Oreochromis niloticus: one gene and its partner. The protein of the gene in region 1 purifies or fractionates together with the protein of each later gene. This does not show direct contact. Links are inferred from orthologs where the notes say so. Each region holds a gene or a part of one and is shown on either strand. Other genes may lie near its edges.

The links.
Region 2: the proteins of heatr3 (region 1) and tmem186 purify together in Homo sapiens (co-immunoprecipitation; 3 studies listed by BioGRID and IntAct, counting the BioPlex papers as one, with this or other methods). This does not show direct contact. The link is inferred for Oreochromis niloticus from reciprocal best matches to the Homo sapiens genes HEATR3 and TMEM186.

Annotation. Positions count from the first base shown.
Region 1 is NC_031965.2:31,698,653-31,702,573, forward strand, and holds the start of heatr3 (HEAT repeat-containing protein 3), read right to left. Parts: upstream 2,566-3,921; 5' UTR 2,423-2,565; coding exon 2,282-2,422; intron 2,010-2,281; coding exon 1,837-2,009; intron 1-1,836. Other genes in the region: cnep1r1 (nuclear envelope phosphatase-regulatory subunit 1), read right to left, coding at 3,025-3,066, 3,158-3,212. UniProt on the Homo sapiens protein: Plays a role in ribosome biogenesis and in nuclear import of the 60S ribosomal protein L5/large ribosomal subunit protein uL18 (RPL5). Required for proper erythrocyte maturation.
Region 2 is NC_031971.2:30,541,328-30,545,248, forward strand, and holds the start of tmem186 (transmembrane protein 186), read right to left. Parts: upstream 2,917-3,921; 5' UTR 2,845-2,916; coding exon 2,842-2,844; intron 1,429-2,841; coding exon 766-1,428; 3' UTR 1-765. Other genes in the region: gde1 (glycerophosphodiester phosphodiesterase 1), read left to right, coding at 3,368-3,637. UniProt on the Homo sapiens protein: As part of the MCIA complex, required for efficient assembly of the mitochondrial complex I.

The DNA of each region.
Region 1 (3,921 bases):
TTCTTCTGCCCAACTGTGAACATTTCTGTGTGAAGTTTGGATGTTCTCCTTGAGTCTGTGTGGGTTCTCTCTGGATAATCCAGTTTCCTTCCACAGTCCAAAGACATCCACGGTAGGTCAACTTGTGATTTCTAAACTGGTTGTCCGTCTGTCTGTGTTAGCCATACTAGACTGCTGACATGTTCAGGCTACATCTCAGCTTTCACCCCACGACACTTGGGATAGGCTCCAGTCCACTCATGATTCTGAGGTGGATAAGCAGTTAAGAAAAGGGATGCAAGGATGGGTTTAGGCAAAGCAGCTCACTGGATAGTGTGTAGAAGCCAACAAATGCCACCCACTCAACAGAGGTAAACGCACTGGACTATGAGCTGTGCTATTTGTATTCTTATATGCACCTCTCTCTGTGAAGTCCTAGAAAAGGTCAGTTCTGTAACACCACACTGACTGAAGTGATTGGAAGAAAAGAGCCATGATTACATTTTCTAATGTTTTCCGGGGCTTTTGTTTCACTTTCTTTAAGTATAGCAACCTTTTTTAAACACATTTCTTAGCTTTCTGCATTTTCTGTTGCAGTATCAACAGTGCTCACTAAAAACTAGCACACAATACATGTATTATGCATATAAGCAAAAAGCATGTGTAGCAGGTAAACTAAAATATATAAGGCAGCACAATGAAATGGCACAATGTGATTAATTTTTTTTATTATCCAATAACACACTTTTAAAAACTGCAGAAGCATGTGACTGACAACTGACTTCCCTCTACCTGCACCTGACTCTCTTCAAAGCAGGAGAAGCACTGACGTTACTAACGTCAATTAGTAATCTGGGTCACACAAATGGGAGAGAAATTAAGCTGAGGCATGTGGTCAAGTAATAAACTTTCTCACTTGCTGTAATCGAGAGAATAAATATTAAAAGCATTGTCTTGCTAGCATAAACAGCCTCTTTTTGATGATTCTCACTCCATCGCAAAGTATCTACATACAACTAAACTGTTAACCACAGGAGGTTTAAACAGCCAGAATAATAATGTGAGGGTCCCACACCTGCCATTGAAACAACTCTGGCAACAACTCATGCCAGGAACTGGCTCTTTGAGGTTTTCAGCAAGTTTCATTAGCTCTTCTGTTAGCAACAATTTGCTGCGCATGTGCTTCATGGAGCCTTGGGCACCTACAACTCATCATCTGTTTACCAGTTGTCGGCCCTTTAATTTGTCACATCATCACTGGTCAGATCATCCATTACCATGGGCTGAGCTTCCACTGCTATGCTGATGATACACAGTTATCATCAGCATAGCAGTCACTTCCCTCCTCTGTGCCTTGTAAACTGACTAAAAAGACATCAGAATTTGAATGTCAGCAAACTGAAGTCTTGGTTGTGGTTCCCAATTCAAAGCTCCCGAAGAGGGAGGTCCTCTGGAGGTCAACATCATCAAATCTATCTCTAAATCTGCCTTCAAGAACACATGTCCAGACTAAAACCTTTATTCTCAAACTCTGCAGCTGGAACCCTCACTCATTCCTTATCACCTCCTACTTTAACTACGCCAATGATGTTCTGTTTTGGTCGACCATCCCTAATCTTATACCTCCACCAGAGACTGCCACTTCTCTTCGTGCCCTTGCTCATACAAATCACTGCAAACTGACAACACAGAAAAGTTCTAATATGTTTTATGGTGACCCCAGCACTAAAATGGCCCATTCTAGCAACAAAATAGGTCACACGTGTTGATAACTTTTTAAACTTGTGAGATGACCCGAGTGGTCCAGGTCTTCGTCAAGTGACAGGAACCCAGATTATTTGTTACACTCAGACTCACCTGAGAGCTCCAGTGGCAGTCTCTCTGACAGCCAGGCTCCGGTCCAGCAACATGGGACCCAGGCGCCTAACAGCATCCCTCTGGAGGAAACCCGGAATGGTCTGACTCTGCTGCACCACCCGAGAAATACTGGCACATGCAAACTCTCGCACATCAGCGCTGGGGCTCTGCAACTATAGGAAACGTGTTTAGCACGTTAGCACGTGACACCAGCTGTTCAAAATCTGAAGTACTGTGTGTTCATTCAACTATCACCAGGTGACCTTTTGTAACACGAAATATAAAATCAATAAACTGATCGCTATACGTAAGGCCATTTAAATCACAGAATATAAAGTGGGGCGCAATAATCTTTAAAGAAAATGCTAGAAATTGCAAAAATAGGAGCTTTGAAACGTTCAAAGTTAGAGACATTCATGTAAGAAGAAGCAGTGTATGTCCCTACTTTCTCAAGCAACTCCGCAGCTGGACAGCTATCATCACCATGCTCTTCCTCCTCGCCGTCTCCTTCCTTCACCGCAGTCACCGGCAGCCCGACCGAGTTGAACTGGGGACGTTTAAACTTATTGGTTTTACTTTTACCCATTTCACGTGATTATTAAAGTGCGAGTTGCGCGTATAACGCGGTGTTTACTCCCTCCTCTTTTCTCTGACACTGGGGTTGTTGAGGATCAAACACACGCTCCGGCTTCTGCCTTGTTGGAGGCCATGTGGAAGACTGTTCCCTGCCGTAAAGTGTTGGTTGCTAAGAGAAAGCACGACACTGTCGCAAAAGCGCACGGACTACGCATGTAACAAACTGCATAGGAAGGATGGGAGAAGGCAACAAGAAATAAAGAGACAGCTCTGATATTCCCACGTCTTATGAATTTATTTATTAGGCAAATAACCTTTAAAATAGAAATATTTTAGATAAAATACATGCTCAACAGAAACAGAAATATACCCTCACTCTGAATGTGTAAAATATATCAAAGGTTACATGAGCAAATCAGCAGCTTCAATGATGACAACACAGCAACACTGTTAAAAAAAAAAGAAAAGAAAAGAAAAGAAAAGGGCCCTCTCAGTTCATTTCTTTGCTGGAAATGCATTTCCCATCATGCTTCATCTAAGAGCATCCAAAGGAATTAAAGACAAGAAGGCAATCAACAAAGATGAGGCCTGACAGAACCCAGGAGCGTGTGGTCACTGGATGTTTGGTCGTGGTTTCAGAATAAGTTTCCCCGTCTGCAAAAAGACAAGGAAAAATTAAAAAAAACCCCAAAACTTAAATTTTAGTAAAATTGTAAAAAAAATAAAAATCACCATGTTGACTCACATCATCACAGGACATGTTGTATTCTGCTAAAACTGTGCGGCAGCGAGCAGCAATACTGCAGGGGTAACGGTTAAAGACAATAACCAGGAATGAAAATAGGAATGAATCCACTATGTGATGTTCCTAAACCTGACAAAACTTGGCTTTGGATATCTGCTACTGATACGGTGTACAAGAAAAGAAACTATTGAGAGATCAATAAACTCAATTCTTTACTGTGACAAAGATAATGGGATTTCAGTCAAACAGGCTGTTTAGGAAGGTGAATGAAGTGACCTAGAGGTATCTGCATGGAACCCCAAAAGAGCTGGTCAAATTCTCTAAATACTAAAGAAAGGTGCTTTCAGTGCTTTAATAACCTCCTAAACAAAATGTACACCAGACCACCCTTTATGAAACCAAAGTTCATTCACATCAAATAAAGTAATTAACATAGCTGACAAGTGCAGTGCAAATCCTGATTAACAGTGCATTTTCTATTTCATGACATAATCTCCTGATATGGTTTTGAGCCTTCAACAACAGGCTGTTAAACCCACATGTGGACTCTGACCACTACACTGCTTCTTATCAAGCTGTTGTCTTGTTTGAAGCCTGTTTACTTATAATAGGAAAGAAAGCTTTATAAATATAGACTATGGGCAGAACTAAGGCAGGAACTAGACTGAATCATCTCTCCAGTGGGAAGAGAAAATATGAGTTGACAGGATGGCCAATGTGGCAAACATTTCAAGTTATTTCATTTAATAAGATACTTATTTAAA
Region 2 (3,921 bases), on another chromosome or scaffold:
TCACCAGCTGGTAGTTAACCTGCTCTACTTCTATTTCTAGATGTCAGAAAACATCTTAACCAAGATAGAACTGAAAACTCGCAGGTTCTAAAAACTCAGCAAGAGAAACTGTTCCCAAAGTGACATTTCTTTGAACCAAACCTGAGGCAAAATGTATGAATAATTCCCCGTTTCTACAGCCAGGATGCCCTAACCCTAGCCCAATCAAAAACAATGTTGAAAAATGCATTTTACATAATAACAGTTTTAAGGTTTACACTTTAACCTAACACACACAAAAAAAATCAATATCAGGAGGAGACAACTTCTTTGGAGCTTGCAGCAAGAAGGACATGTGACCCGTGGAGCTATCCTATCATGGTCTAATGATGCAACATGAATATTCGGACAATGTTAGGCCAATCTCACTTGATTTTTTTATTTCAGCTGCATACATAGTCACCATTTAGTAGACAACTGTTAACCTACCACAGGGTTAGGGTTAGGGTCCAGATTTTTTTTTTTTTTTTTTAAATCTGCAATCTTACTTCTCAACCTTAATTAAGATAAAAAAAGAAAAATAATAATAAACCAGTAATTTATCAACTGTGGATGATTCAGATCTATGTCAGCTAAAATATCTTAGATATAAAATATAACAGCAAGCTGTATAATGTGTTTTCATTTAGAATATTGTTCATGGACAATAGATGCATCTCTTAACATGTTATATTTTGATAATACTATTCAGAATACTCCACATTTTCTTTTAAACAAATAATCATTTTAAAAACTTCCAAACACTTTTTTAAAAGCCTGTTCATCCACCACACGTCCAAAATGAGTTGAGAAATACAGAGTCTCCGCACTGCTGTATCTCTTAAATTTCAGTATGGTCTCATTTACGGAGTCCCCTGTGTCTCCAATGGTCATGACATCTGACACTGGCAGGTACATATCATGGCGCTTTCCCCAGAAAGTGAGGTGGGACACTTTGAGCGTGGTCTGAGATGGATCCAGATACATCATTCCCACCACCCTTCTGAAGAAGTAACTGGCAGTATACAGCATAACACCAGCAAACAGAGCTATCCCTGTCGTGTAGCCGACAAGAAAGGCGGAGGCAGCTCCCTGGAAGTAGAGGACGTACACCGGGGGCAAGAGGACCACAGTTATTGCAGTTTGGAGGAGTTTGAGCCTGGACACAGCTCGAAGGAGCTTAATGTATGGCAGGGTGTAAATCATAGTGTACTTCTGTGTGGACACATCCGAGTAATTAACAAGGGCTGTGATTTTAGGGATAACAGGTCCATGTAGGCGCTGCTGAATTGGCCTGAGACTTGGTGAACAAGGCTGCAAACTGTAAGGTGTTCGAGCTGCGAACAGACTTGATCCTCTGGTGAAGGACAGGACGTGGGGAGTTAATCTGCACCGAAGAAGCGACCTGATCTGTAGAAAAATAAATAACATCAAACAGATAAATTCAATATGACATGTTATTCTCTGTCAGTATTTCCTACCAGGGTTCATCAATACAATCTCAGAGAACAACACATGTGGGGGATCAGATAAAGACCTGTTCCAAAACAACTACTGATGGCATAATGTAACTCTACAATGGCCTTATTTAATAAATAAATAAATAAATAAATAAATAAATAAATAAATGGAGTCTGGAGAAAATGAAGACATTGATGGATTCTCATACACATTTTCCACATGTGTGTTCTAAGCAAGTGCATTATCAATGTATACCTGTAAGTATTTGTACCACATAACCCGTCTAATGGCATGGACATGTATAGTAATAGGGGTCTCATCTCCAGCTGATATAGAATCCTCCACTTTGTGCAGGTGGTACTCTGCACACCAGTTCACAAACCCGTCCGCTCCAGCTCTATGGCTGGAAATAAGCTCCACTCGCATATAACTTGCATCCATTTAGTTTAACAGACACGGTTGAGCTCTTTGACAGTAGGTAAAGTTTCTCACAGAAGGAAAATAGATTGCTTGTTACCACATTAGCAAATGAGGACTTGCCTCTAGGCATACCATCTGGAAACCAATACTGTAAAAGATCAGGTTTAGCTCTTCATCAAGCCAGGTGGTAAAATATGAGGGAAGCACTTTTTTGGCTCATTTAGGTCACCACAGCAGATAATTTGCCTCCACCTCACCCTGGTATATCCTCGGTCATATCTAAATATCCTCTTTTTTGCTTCTGCCTGGCAACTCCATCTTCAACATCTTTTATCCAATATATCCATTATCCCTCCTCTGCACATGTCCAAACCATCTCAGCTTTGCTTCTCTAACTTTGCCTCTAAACTGTTGAACCTGACCTTTCCCTCTGATGCGCTCATTCCTAATTTTGTCCATTCTGATCTCTCCCTATGAAGCTCTTACAACTCTTCCACCTCCGATCTTTTTGCCAGTGCCATCATGTCCAAACCATACATCATAGCATCACTACCATCTTGCAAACCTTCCCCTTCACTCTTGCTGCCATAAATCACCCCAGACCCTCATCTCAGCCTTCCTGTACTCTCTACTTCACTTATTTTGTGCACTGTACGTTGCTATTGCAGTAATATACAAAATATAATATTATGCAGTTGCTTAAAAAAATACAAGAGGTATACCCAGACGAACACTTGCAGTACATGTACAGCAGCTGTTGTGTAGCCGCTGTGTGGAATAAAAGAACCTGAAGGTGCACATGTCCTGACTGAGCTGTCACCAATGACTGTAGAAAACACACAGCCCTGCCACAGCACTAATGACCTTGTGTGGCTAAAAATTAATCTTACTGATAATAACAGTCAATGCTGGATAAGAGCTTGCATATAAAACGAGGCTTACCATGATCAGAGACCAGCTAAATGAAAGAAAAACGCAGAAACAAGAAAGATGGATCACGAAATGACATGACTTGAACGAGCGCTAACAGGAAGCAGTTATGCGGTGTGACCCGGATGTGCTCACCTTTAACGTCTCGTTTTTATGTTAATGTATGTTTAATTATTTCTTTTTTTTGTTCCGAGACATCCTGTGAGAAAGCTGTCAATGATCGCTCTGTAACAGCTCAGTGAGAATAATAATTACAATTTTATTATAATTTTGAATAAATCTAATTCATTTTGGGGGTGTTAGCTTAAATGCGGAACGGGAAGCGTAAATCAGCAGTTCCCTTTAAGTCGCGGACAGGGGACTGTCTCTTGGTAATGAGTGTTTTATCGCCGGGCAAAACATGTTCTTATCTCATTTAGGTCGTTTAAAGAAACTAAAATTAGGACAGTAAACGTCCCACACCTTAAATGCGGAACATTTCCTGCCAGGTGCTATTTTCTGCTGTGGGACAGGTGGAGAAGACAAAGACAGGACAACGATGGTCCAGCTGGGAGATGAAGCGACCCTGTACTCCCTTATCTTCGTGGGGATCCTGCTGGGGACCCGAAGCCCGGTGTGGACAGTGGTCCTCACCGCCTCTCTCTACCTCTTTCTAGCCATGTTCCGCTTCCCACAGGTACCATCCAGCCGAACCCAGAAGGTGCTCCACCCAGTCAAGGGCACGGCGGGCACCGGCAAGGTGTCGGTGGTCGCTCACCGGGGCGGCGGGCACGATGCACCGGAGAACACGATAGCATCTATCCGAGAGGTGAGAGAATGAGGTGGGGAGGGTTTTGGAGCGATAATCCTTCATATGCCCTTTTTTGTTTCTTTTTTTATGGCAGTGGTTGCAAGGGGAACTACTGCGATGTCTTTAACTTCTGGTATTCACACCCAGTTTGTATCTGGATAACTTATCAGCACAGAGAACATGCATTTTAAGGCCACCACTGTTCCAGCAGCACCTTCTATCACAATGTTATCAGCCAGTTCCCAACTAGCCAGCCTCGTTTAACTAATCTGCATGTTGAGATAAAGTAAAGAGATGTGAGT